3 linked regions of the Arabidopsis thaliana genome follow. The protein of the gene in region 3 interacts with the protein of the main gene of each other region in a pairwise test. Each region holds a gene or a part of one and is shown on either strand. Other genes may lie near its edges.

Region 1 (3,138 bases), on a different chromosome or scaffold from region 3:
GGGACTGTAAAAAAAGTGTTGTGGAACGGAGCTTTTATCAGGTCAGGACCACTCAGATACGCATACCTCTCACTCTTGAAAATGCCACATTATCATTATGTCCACTCACCATTGTCGGAGGACGAGAAACCGCATTTTCAGAAAGACGACCTCTCAAAGATTGCTGTTGGAGTTGTTGTGCGGTTTCAGGTGTTGGCTGTGCGGTTTAAAGAGAGACCACACAAGAGAAGAAACGACTATTATGTTCTTGCAACTTTGGAAGGCAATGGTTCATTTGGTCCCATCTCTCTTACAGGGTCAGATGAGCCATACATGTAACCCAAACAAGGCACCAAAAGTTAAAAGTCTTTAGATACTTTTTTGCTTTTAGGTTAACCTCAGATTCGTTGGGGTTGTTTCGTGTTAAACTGGATCGACAAGAAATATTTGTAAACAAAGTTGACAGAACCAATTACATTCTATTAATTTCAATTGGTCAATACCGACAGAGTTACATATTGATATAATACTAATACATACAAAAGCATATAAGAAAATTAGTTGCTGAGCTATCTTCAAACTGCATCAATGGTGTGGTAACTCATTGAAAAGGATCATCTTTCATCTAAACCTCTGTGAATCAGACCACAGATTTGGATTTTTCATCACCATCGAGACATCTTCCATCTTCGAATTCATCAAAAGACGAGTCTCAGCAGGCTCTGGATACTCTTGAGTGCTCTAGTAATCGCCATCGATCAAACCCTCGAAATCTATGAGTTGATCAAAATCTAGGAATTGATCAAGATCTATCTCTTGATCTTCCAAGTTTCCTGTAGGTTTGTCGTTACTCTCAAAAATCGCCAAGATCTGATCATCGAATACAACCATCTCCGTTTCTTCTTTGAGACGATCATCATCAGGAACGCCAAAAGTTGCAGAACTTAACTGAAGATTTAGGGTTTCGTGTGAAACAAGATTCTTAATCTTGATGTCGTTGTTAATCTTGACGTCCTCTTGATGATCTCTTCGATAATTATTCACAGATTCCAATTCCTTCAGATCTCTCAACATCGTAGACATCGACTCAATCGCTTTTCTCAACTCCTCCGAATCCTCCGATTTAGCAAGACTCTCGTCTTCCACCATAACTCTAACCCTAGATTCTCTTTACGAACAAGACCCTGATCCTTGAGGAAAGCGGAAACAACAGAATCAACAGAGGAATGGCCGAAGGAGTAGAAGGAGACGTGAGAGTTGGAAGAACAAGGAGTCGTCAAGATCGCAACCTGTGAATCGGAGGAGAGAAGACATAATAGCTCCGCGGCTTTACTGTAAAGACCGGTACGACGTTTGGAGAAACAAACGGCTCGTGACTCTTTCTTCTGAATCTTCTCAATCGAAATTCTTCTCTTTAGTCCTCCCATTCTGCTTTCTTTGATTTCACAGAGATTTTGAGGGACACTACCTCTCTCTCTTTATAGATAGTGTATGTAACAAGAAACCTAGAAACAATTGTATATATAAAAATGTCGGTGGTTTTATAGGAGGGATCTAGGCCCGTATCAGGCCCATTGCAAGAGGAAATTCAAAATTTTGTCTTCTTTTGGCCCAAATCAATTTAATAAAATCTGAATTAGGGGTTTTGTTTTTTGATTTCATGATATAAACGACAAAAACCAAAAGTACATATATAACCAGAACTCAAGAGTCTTTTATAATAAAGGCAAACCGAAAAAACAGAACCGGTTATCAAGTCTCTCTCTTCCTTTTCTATCCAAATAACATCCACTTGTAATAATCTTATCGACAAACAATCGACCTATAACTACCCACGTGTCATCACGATACGATTATTATCCTCTCTGATCCAACGGACCCAAAACATCTATCTCTCTTTCTCGACCTTTTGTCTCCTCGATCTAAAGATGGCGGATTCGGACAACGATTCAGGAGGACACAAAGACGGTGGAAATGCTTCGACACGTGAGCAAGATAGGTTTCTACCGATCGCTAACGTTAGCAGGATCATGAAGAAAGCACTTCCTGCGAACGCAAAAATCTCTAAGGATGCTAAAGAAACGGTTCAAGAGTGTGTATCGGAATTCATAAGTTTCATCACCGGTGAGGCTTCTGACAAGTGTCAGAGAGAGAAGAGGAAGACAATCAACGGTGACGATCTTCTTTGGGCGATGACTACGCTAGGGTTTGAGGACTACGTGGAGCCTCTCAAGGTTTATCTGCAAAAGTATAGGGAGGTGGAAGGAGAGAAGACTACTACGGCAGGGAGACAAGGCGATAAGGAAGGTGGAGGAGGAGGCGGTGGAGCTGGAAGTGGAAGTGGAGGAGCTCCGATGTACGGTGGTGGCATGGTGACTACGATGGGACATCAATTTTCCCATCATTTTTCTTAATTGTAAAATGATAAAAGCAAATTTTCATTTTTATTAATTAATGATATATATATATATATGTTTAACTTTTAGTATAATGTTTACAGAATTTTTTTTTTAAAACTAGGTTCAACCCACTAACGTAACAAAATAAATATTAAATTTATGATTCGTAAGGTTAGGGTGTTACTTTTTTCAAAAAAAAAGAATAAAAGAAGGTTAGGGTGTTTATTCGTGAAAGATGAAAGTAACAAAAGTAAACTAGGATATCGAAGTTTATGGTTGAATTAGGAGGAAAAATCAAATGAGAGAGACATACATTTTTTTTAGAGTAAAATGTTTCCTAAAAAATTGTAGTGGGAATATAATTATAGCATCAAGCTAAAAAGAGTCATTGAAAAACTTTTTCTACTTTGATGCAGGGAACATGAGATGTAATCAAGGGCATATCTAAAACGTAACCTTTGATCTTTGATCTTTGATCTTTTTTTTTTTTTTTTTTTTTTTTGAAATTCAGGAGGTTCTGGGCCGAAGCCCGTAATTCCTCCAGGCCCGAAACCACAGCATGTAATATTAGTTTTTCTTTTAAAGTGTTGTGATGCGAAAATTTCATATTTGAGTCCAGGTTTTTAAGAGCTTGGGTTTTCCATTAGTCCATGTTATGCCACAAATATTCAAAGATTTTTTCTTACAAGCAATACTCAAATATCAAAACTAAGTTTCTATCAAAAAACTAAACAAAACATCAGCCAGGTAAAATCAGGAA
Region 2 (3,821 bases), on a different chromosome or scaffold from region 3:
ACCAACAGTTCGAGAAGGTTTTGATTGAAATTAGAAGACCATTGACGTGGATCGAGTTTTGGCGTTCAAGGCAAGGAGCCTTCTCGGTCCTTGGTTCAGTGATTTTAGGATTATCTGTTTGCAAACAGCTCAAAATTGGCTCTTAACATTTCACTTCTGTTACTGCTAAAAAACTTGTTATAATCTTAAAGCTTTGATTTATTATTCTCTTGCTCTCTTCAGCATTAGCTTATTACACTATTCACTAGTTTGAATTCACTCTCCTATTCAGTCAGTACTCAGGCATCTATTATCTATATACAACTTGAATCTGTGATTGAGAAAAAGAAAGAAGTAGCAAGTGACCATTAATCATAGGTGGCGATGAACGGAATGACCATCAACATGAAGACATCGTAAGAGAGCGTTGCGTAGCCTGTGTAACCAGGGTCGTTCTCCCTGAACTTCTCTGTCAATCCCTGTTAATAAGCATACGACACATTTTAAACAATTTCAAGTGGTTTAGATTCATGTAAACACATTGTCGAAATTCTCATGGAGGTTAAAAGATCATACCTTCACAATCATCCCACACCTGCAGAACAAAATGAGGGAAACAAACCGATGATGCTTAGTATACAAATTAAGAACCGCAAGAATCGATGAAAACATACAGAAAACTTACTCGAGGAAGCTGTCGAAACATAGGTCAACAGTTTTGCCAGTCCCATCATCAAACTGAGATACGATAAGCTGGTGAACCGAGGTTGGAAGCACGCACCCGAGATTATAGAAAGCGTCTCTGAGCTGGGTAGAATTCATCTTTCCACTCCTATCTCTATCGTACCTGTTAAATATTGCCTACAAAAGAACACACATTGAAAAGTAACACTCCATTTTTAACTTTTAAGGCATAGAAGAATACACACATTGCCTCAACTAGATTGATCCACATAAGTGTTCACTTACACGCCATTGCGCAAGGCAGTTCCATAACTCAACATACTCCTTAGGACCTACATAAAAAGGTAGAAACATGGCTATTTTGTAACATCATTCATATTTGAAATCAAAAAGCCAATTTCAAAAGCTGCAATAAGTGAATTTACCAAGCCGAAGCAGAGAATCTACAGGAATCTTGTAAATAAACAACAGCAACCTAATCGTTCTGTTACTAATTCCATCGTACCCAGATAACGACAACGCTTGCCGGAGCTCCGATTCTTCGAGAAATCCGCTCCGGTTTCTATCCGCCGACTCAAAGCTCCTCACAATCTCCGGATGCGTTTCCGGGGAAAACATCCCGGAGTAAGAGCTGAATTGCTGAGTTGGTTGATATGATGGATACGCGTAAGTGTATCTACTTTCACCATCGTGCTGCTGCTGAACGAACGATTCTGGTAGCTCCGGTGCCGACGGTGCGTAGGCGTTTGAGTAAGACATTAATCAGAGTATGAAATTCTTAGAAATGGCTCGAATTCGGAGAATCTGGTTATTCGAAGATGTCTCAAATTCCAGAGGTTGAAGACGACTCCGATTCTTATTCGTGTTTTGATCGAATTTATTAGTATTACGATTGGACGGTGAAGATTTAATAAAGGTTATCCAACGGTGAGATTGACAACGTGCTCATAACTCTTTAGTGCTTATCAATTTGAATAATGGGCCGATTTGCTAGTACGATTTGACGGCTAGGATTTTGTCAATCAATCCAACGGGTAATATTGAGCGGCGTGGTCATAACTCTTTAGTGCTTATAAACTTGAATATGGGCTTTTAAATATTTTAATAGGCTGATCAGCTTACTGGGCCGATGTGTTTTGTTGTATTATTAACATAAAGGCGGGAAAGACGGCGACTGAGAGAGAGGAGAGAAGAATGGAGTCGGAGAAAGTGGTGGTGGACGAGCTGCCGCTAGCTATTGTGCGCCGGGTGGTGAAGAAGAAGCTGTCGGAGTGTTCGCCGGATTATGACGTCAGTATTCACAAGGAAGCTTTGCTCGCATTCTCAGAGAGTGCGAGGATCTTCATCCACTACCTCTCCGCCACGTATGTACACTTCACAAACCCTAACTTTTTTTCGAATTTCTGCACTATGATAGTGAATGATTTGGAATGTTCCAAGTTTGGGTTTATGTTAATGTGATTCAATTGATGAATGTTAGTGTTTGTGAATTGTGATCGATCGAATTGATGGATTTAGTTTAATTTGGGGGTGAATGATATAGGGCAAATGATTTTTGTAAAGATGCAAGAAGACAAACTATGAAGGCTGATGATGTGTTTAAGGCATTAGAAGAAATGGATTTTTCAGAATTTTTGGAGCCGCTTAAATCTTCTCTTGAAGGTAAGTGTTTTGTTCGGATGAAGATCCTATTGTCACTATCTGTTGTTACTTTCATGGAGTGTTAGTAGAAATGGCTTAGGTTGTGATTTGTCTTGTTATGGACACTGGCCTAGGTGTGTGCACTTTGAGCTTATGATGTCAATCCTAGTGTAATCCACATGACTGGTTTTCAGATTTTAAGAAGAAGAATGCGGGGAAAAAGGCGGGTGCTGCAGCTGCTTCGTATCCTGCTGGTGGAGCTGCTTTGAAATCTTCAAGTGGAACTGCTTCGAAGCCCAAAGAGACGAAGAAGAGGAAACAGGAAGAACCATCTACGCAAAAGGGTGCAAGGAAAAGCAAAATAGATGAGGAAACTAAGAGGAATGACGAGGAGACTGAGAATGACAACACGGAAGAAGAGAATGGAAACGATGAGGAGGATGAGAATGGAAACGATGAGGAAGATGAGAATGACGATGAAAATACAGAAGAGAATGGGAATGATGAGGAGAACGACGATGAAAATACGGAAGAGAATGGGAATGATGAGGAGAACGAGAAGGAGGATGAGGAAAACAGCATGGAAGAGAATGGGAATGAGAGCGAAGAGAGCGGGAATGAGGACCATAGCATGGAAGAAAATGGGAGCGGGGTTGGTGAAGATAATGAGAACGAGGACGGGAGCGTAAGTGGAAGTGGTGAAGAGGTAGAGAGTGATGAAGAAGATGAATGAACTCAAGGTTATATTTTTGCTAAGAACATGTTTTCAGGTTTATGTTGGAGATTAGCTTGTAAGCTTGAAGCAGTGGTTGTGGCCATGAGCATGTAATAGACTAACATATCTTTTTGCTCTTTGGCTCTAGTGTTACCAAATATGTAAGTCAAAGTTTAGAAAATGAAGTTTTGCAACAAAATTTTAGCTTAATTATTCATTTTGATTAAGAGAGCAAAAAAGTTGGGATGCTAGTCTAAAGCAAATGTTACAACAAGAAGAGTAAAACTCTGACACAGTTGAAAATTTTGAGTTTGGATGTATAATAAACTAGAGGGTCATTTGGCTTTCACTTCATGTATTCAGTGACACGCTGCGAAATATCATCGAGGAAAGACACGAAACCCATGGCGCTAGCAAAACCATTACCGTCCACATCTTGTTCTTCTATAAGATAGTTCTCAAAGACAGTAGCATCGTCTCGTCCTCCTCGGATAAACACTAGTTTTGGTGTGATGCTCCTTTCTTGCTTCACTTTATTTATGGTCTGCCTCAATAAACCTGTAAGATATAAGTTTTCGAATCAACATAGTCTCAAAGATCTAAAGGTGGTTGAACTGGATTTCATTTGGTGAGAAAACTTACAGTCTTGAGGTGGAGGGAAAGGTATTGACGGGTCTGCTGTTGATGAGTAGAAGACTATCAAAGTGGTATATGCATCTAGGAAAAATATCGGACTACCACTTGTTATCAATGCTGCACGGCTCAACGAATGACGCGGATATGCCAGTGTATCCGGTGTTGA
Region 3 (4,178 bases):
CTTATAAATTTTACAACGGGATGATGAAGTACAATAAGCAAATCAATTTTGTGGATAAAGAAATGCATATGATTGTCTTAAGTTTGATTTAATGGTGTAGAATAAAAACATATAAAGACAAAAGTTGGTTGAAGTGTCAAACAGAGTGAACTCCGTAAACAGCCTCTTTTTCTTCACACCTTAAGAAACCATAGACGAAAAAAAGTTTACATATTTTTAGAAAATTTTCGATCTTTAAAAAATTTATGAGGAGATTTGTTAACCTTACATAATACTTGACAAGAGAATGATGAAATTTTTTTAGACAAAAAAAAACACGTTGAAAAGTCTCATATATGATGTCACTGATTTTTAGATCAAAATGTTGACACCCCAATTTGATCGGGAAGCAAGAAAACCCGGAGAACAGATATAAAATTAAATTGTTCTATTCTACACAAAACCTTGGGCATTTGTTAAATTTTAACTATTTACGGTTTATTTTAACCATCTCCACTGAGAATTTATCGTTACGTTTATGGAAATGACTACACACATCTTCGTTTTTCTAATCATTTATAGGTGTGTACTTGTTTTTCCTTCAAATTTTCATTGTTTCACTTGAAAAGTGCACTCTGAAAAATAGAAAGTACACTGAAAATTCATTGTTGTTTTCACTTAAAAAGTGCATACTGGACAACAAAAAACCTCAACAAACAAACGATCAAACAAGAGAGTGAGAGACCTAAAGATATTTTTTTCCACTAGCGCTTCAACAAAGAAAAAAGAAGAGAAGCTTTCATTTAAACGTGGTACGTTGAAGTATACATGATGATGTAATAAAGTACTACAATGACTCAACAACGCCAGCTCTTGGAATGGATATTAGTGGGAGAAGAAGATCCAACAACTTTATCAACCAGCTTCCTCAATCCCTTCTTCTTCTTCGGGGTCTTCTTTTCCTTATCCGTCTTATCTTCTCTCTTCCTCTCTTCTTCAACTTCTTCCTCAAACTGTGAACACAGCTTAAGCACTTGCTCCTCTACATTATTAAGTCTCTCTAGCAAAGTTCCTTTCCGCTCAGTCTCCTCCCTGACTTGTTCCATCGAACGGCAGTGTACCTTCCCTATGCTCCTCGGTGACGACAGATCCATTGACGATGGCTGAGTCCCACTAGATGGAGTCGATGGGCTCGAGCTTCTAGGCGAGCTTCCTTTCATCTCCTCTAACTTCCTCACCATGAAATCAATACGATCCAATCTTGAAAGTATCGGTTCTTCTACAACAGCCATTATTGATAACAAACGACAACGTTTCCAGAAGCTTTGGTTGTGTCGGAATAGTTGAAAGACAGTATCGAAAGCAAAACTCGTCTTCTCTTATTAATAGAGTAATAATTGGAGATTGAAAGAACACGAGCTAGGCCACGTTTAAATATTGCAGAGAGAGTTCATGGAGACTCACACGTGTTGTTGATAACACGTGGTGGTTCCAGCTTGCGGACACCTCTTCTGTCTCATACTCCAACATTACCCATTCTTCCTTATCTAATCCCTAAAATTTCTTTACATTATGTCGGGAACAAGATAATGTATTTTGGATGCTTGTATAAAAACATTATCTTATCCCAAGTACATTTACCCTAATTTATTTATTTCTCCATAAACTATACAATGTTTTACGAGGTGTATGCGAAACAGTGAAAGCATGTCCAATAATTTATTTTGAAGTAGTCGTCATGCATCTTCATTCCTCAACATCACCATGTCCATTCCTTAAATTGATCATATGATAAATGGGCCTAAAAGGCTCAAACAAATAAGCCCATGTAAATATCCATCGATTTATTCAGGCGAAAGGGTGAAACATACTGTAGTTCTAAAAAATTAATGGTGTCGTCAAAGAAACCCAAGGAGAAGAAGGCGAGGAGCGATGTCGTCGTCAATAAAGCGAGTGGTCGGAGTAAACGCAGCTCCGGTTCCAGAACGAAGAAGACGTCGAACAAGGTTAACATTGTGAAGAAGAAGCCGGAGATTTACGAGATCTCAGAATCATCGAGCAGTGACTCTGTGGAAGAAGCAATAAGAGGCGATGAGGCGAAGAAAAGTAACGGCGTCGTGAGCAAGAGGGGTAACGGAAAGAGTGTAGGAATTCCGACGAAGACGAGTAAAAATCGAGAAGAGGACGATGGAGGCGCGGAAGATGCTAAGATCAAGTTTCCGATGAATCGGATTCGGCGGATCATGAGAAGCGATAATTCTGCTCCTCAGATTATGCAGGATGCTGTATTTCTTGTCAACAAAGCCACGGTATAGTACTAATTAGACATATAAATTTAGCTTGAGGAACTTAATTTCACATGGTTTTTGATGAATTTGGGAGTATCAATTGCTAGTCAGTGTTAATTGGGCGTTATAATCTCGCAAATTGCTACAGTAATGAGATTGTTTCTGTTAATTAAGCCGGGAATTAACGTTATTGCTTCATCTCCATGTGTGTTTGATGAAACCGTAGTTACTGTGCTTGATTGTCATAGGTTTAGCTTTTACATCCAGAACTTGTAGACACCTAACACATGAGAAAGTCCTTATATATGATTTAGGTTCATATTTTCAAAGCTTAAGTGATGAGTGTTTAATTTTCCTGTATTGGAACTTGGCATTGTTTTTTCTTTCTTTTGATTTCATCTTGTGTTCATCGAAATTGATGTTCATTGCGTTTACAGTACATTAACTGGTTTTTGTGATTGAAGGAGATGTTCATTGAGCGGTTTTCTGAAGAAGCTTATGATAGTTCCGTCAAGGACAAAAAGAAATTCATCCACTACAAACACCTCTGTAAGCTCTAATCTCGTCCCTATTTGCCAATATCTGGTTACCTCAATACTGAATCCCATGTCGAAAATCTCATGCTGCTGCACCAATTGCTGAACTTAGGATTTCTGGCTTCTGCACAAGGGCCAGTAGTTAGTCTTAGGAAGAGTTTAGATAATGAGTTAATCCGTTCGTATCACTTGCAAGATTTGTTGCACTCCTAACATAATTGATGACACTGTCATTTCTACTCGTTGGCAGCATCCGTAGTGAGTAACGACCAGAGATACGAGTTCCTTGCAGGTACTTAATAACCTCTGAAGTATTCGTTTTATGAGTTCCATGTGGTTTACGAACAGCATTTTAATACCTGTAATATCTTGAATGCAGATAGTGTTCCCGAGAAACTTAAAGCAGAGGCCGCGTTGGAGGAATGGGAAAGAGGCATGACAGATGCAGGCTGAAATAAATCCGGTTGGAATCGAACTGAACCATTTGGATTCAAATTTGTGTCCCTGTCCTGGTTTATACTTCATAGGTTCCATCCGCCCGATCTTCACCTTTCTTATTAACCACTACTGAGATTGCACATATTTGATTTCTAGAATGTATACATTTTTTTTCTTGTTTCAAGTTAAAATTTGTAAGAGTTGTCGGAATTCTAATATCTTTCTTTAGTATCTATATATACATTTTTGCAGCCATTTTGTGAAATAAATTTTGTAGTTGGACTTATTTACAATGGCTGCCACTGGATTTTGATGTTTGTATTTGATAATTAGAAAGAAAATCTTCGAATTAAATATTTGACATTTAACAATCTTTCCAAAATCTCTCCACATTAACTAAACAGAGACAAAATTACAAAATATTTAGACAATGATTCATAAACATATCATAAATAAGATCAACATTAATAAAATAAATGGTTTTTTTTACTGGACGGGTTTGACAGGACGTTACTTAATAATAATTGTAAACTATAAAATAAAAATATTTTATAGTTAGATACAATTTGTAAACTTTTATATATACTAACATTAAAAAATAAATTGTTTCCGCGGTGTACCGCTGAGTTAAAATCTAGTTATAATTATAGGACAATTGGTCAGAAAATATTTAGAAAATATTTTTACCATAATTATTCTTACTAATCAAATTATAATATTAGTAAAACAAGCCAATTATCAAAAAAAGGTTTTTAAAATCATTCTTCTAGACCAATTTGAAAAAACTTTCCACATTTTCTTTTCTTTTTACACATTTTATAATTCTGTTATAAAATAAATAATCCAAAATAAGAGTTTGGGGGTAAAACTAAAAATTCAAATAATATGATGGGTATGAATAAAAATTAGGGTGGGTCCACCAGAAGCAGCGACTGAG

The links. Proteins that work in one complex are often made in the same cells at the same time.
Region 1: the proteins of NF-YC10 (region 3) and NF-YB3 interact in binary tests that used the Arabidopsis thaliana proteins (3 or more experiments, as listed by UniProt).
Region 2: the proteins of NF-YC10 (region 3) and NF-YB11 interact in binary tests that used the Arabidopsis thaliana proteins (3 or more experiments, as listed by UniProt).

What each region holds. Positions count from the first base shown.
Region 1 is NC_003075.7:8,342,756-8,345,893, forward strand, and holds NF-YB3 (nuclear factor Y, subunit B3), read left to right. Parts: upstream 1-1,593; 5' UTR 1,594-1,907; coding exon 1,908-2,393; 3' UTR 2,394-2,569; downstream 2,570-3,138. Other genes in the region: AT4G14520 (DNA-directed RNA polymerase II-like protein), read left to right, coding at 1-318; AT4G14530 (agamous-like MADS-box protein), read right to left, coding at 721-1,128. UniProt on the Arabidopsis thaliana protein: Component of the NF-Y/HAP transcription factor complex. The NF-Y complex stimulates the transcription of various genes by recognizing and binding to a CCAAT motif in promoters.
Region 2 is NC_003071.7:11,744,412-11,748,232, reverse strand, and holds NF-YB11 (nuclear factor Y, subunit B11), read left to right. Parts: upstream 1-1,777; 5' UTR 1,778-1,857; coding exon 1,858-2,027; intron 2,028-2,046; exon of another isoform or gene 2,047-2,206; coding exon 2,207-2,325; intron 2,326-2,498; coding exon 2,499-3,037; 3' UTR 3,038-3,252; downstream 3,253-3,821. Other genes in the region: ATCOAE (dephospho-CoA kinase family), read left to right, coding at 1-146; AT2G27480 (Calcium-binding EF-hand family protein), read right to left, coding at 348-458, 556-574, 665-840, 949-995, 1,089-1,422; AT2G27460 (sec23/sec24 transport family protein), read right to left, coding at 3,366-3,577, 3,662-3,821. UniProt on the Arabidopsis thaliana protein: Component of the NF-Y/HAP transcription factor complex. The NF-Y complex stimulates the transcription of various genes by recognizing and binding to a CCAAT motif in promoters.
Region 3 is NC_003070.9:2,472,601-2,476,778, reverse strand, and holds NF-YC10 (nuclear factor Y, subunit C10), read left to right. Parts: upstream 1-1,650; 5' UTR 1,651-1,868; coding exon 1,869-2,288; intron 2,289-2,731; coding exon 2,732-2,816; coding exon of another isoform or gene 2,817-2,827; exon of another isoform or gene 2,828-3,053; coding exon 3,054-3,095; intron 3,096-3,182; coding exon 3,183-3,256; 3' UTR 3,257-3,614; downstream 3,615-4,178. Other genes in the region: AT1G07985 (uncharacterized protein), read right to left, coding at 837-1,271.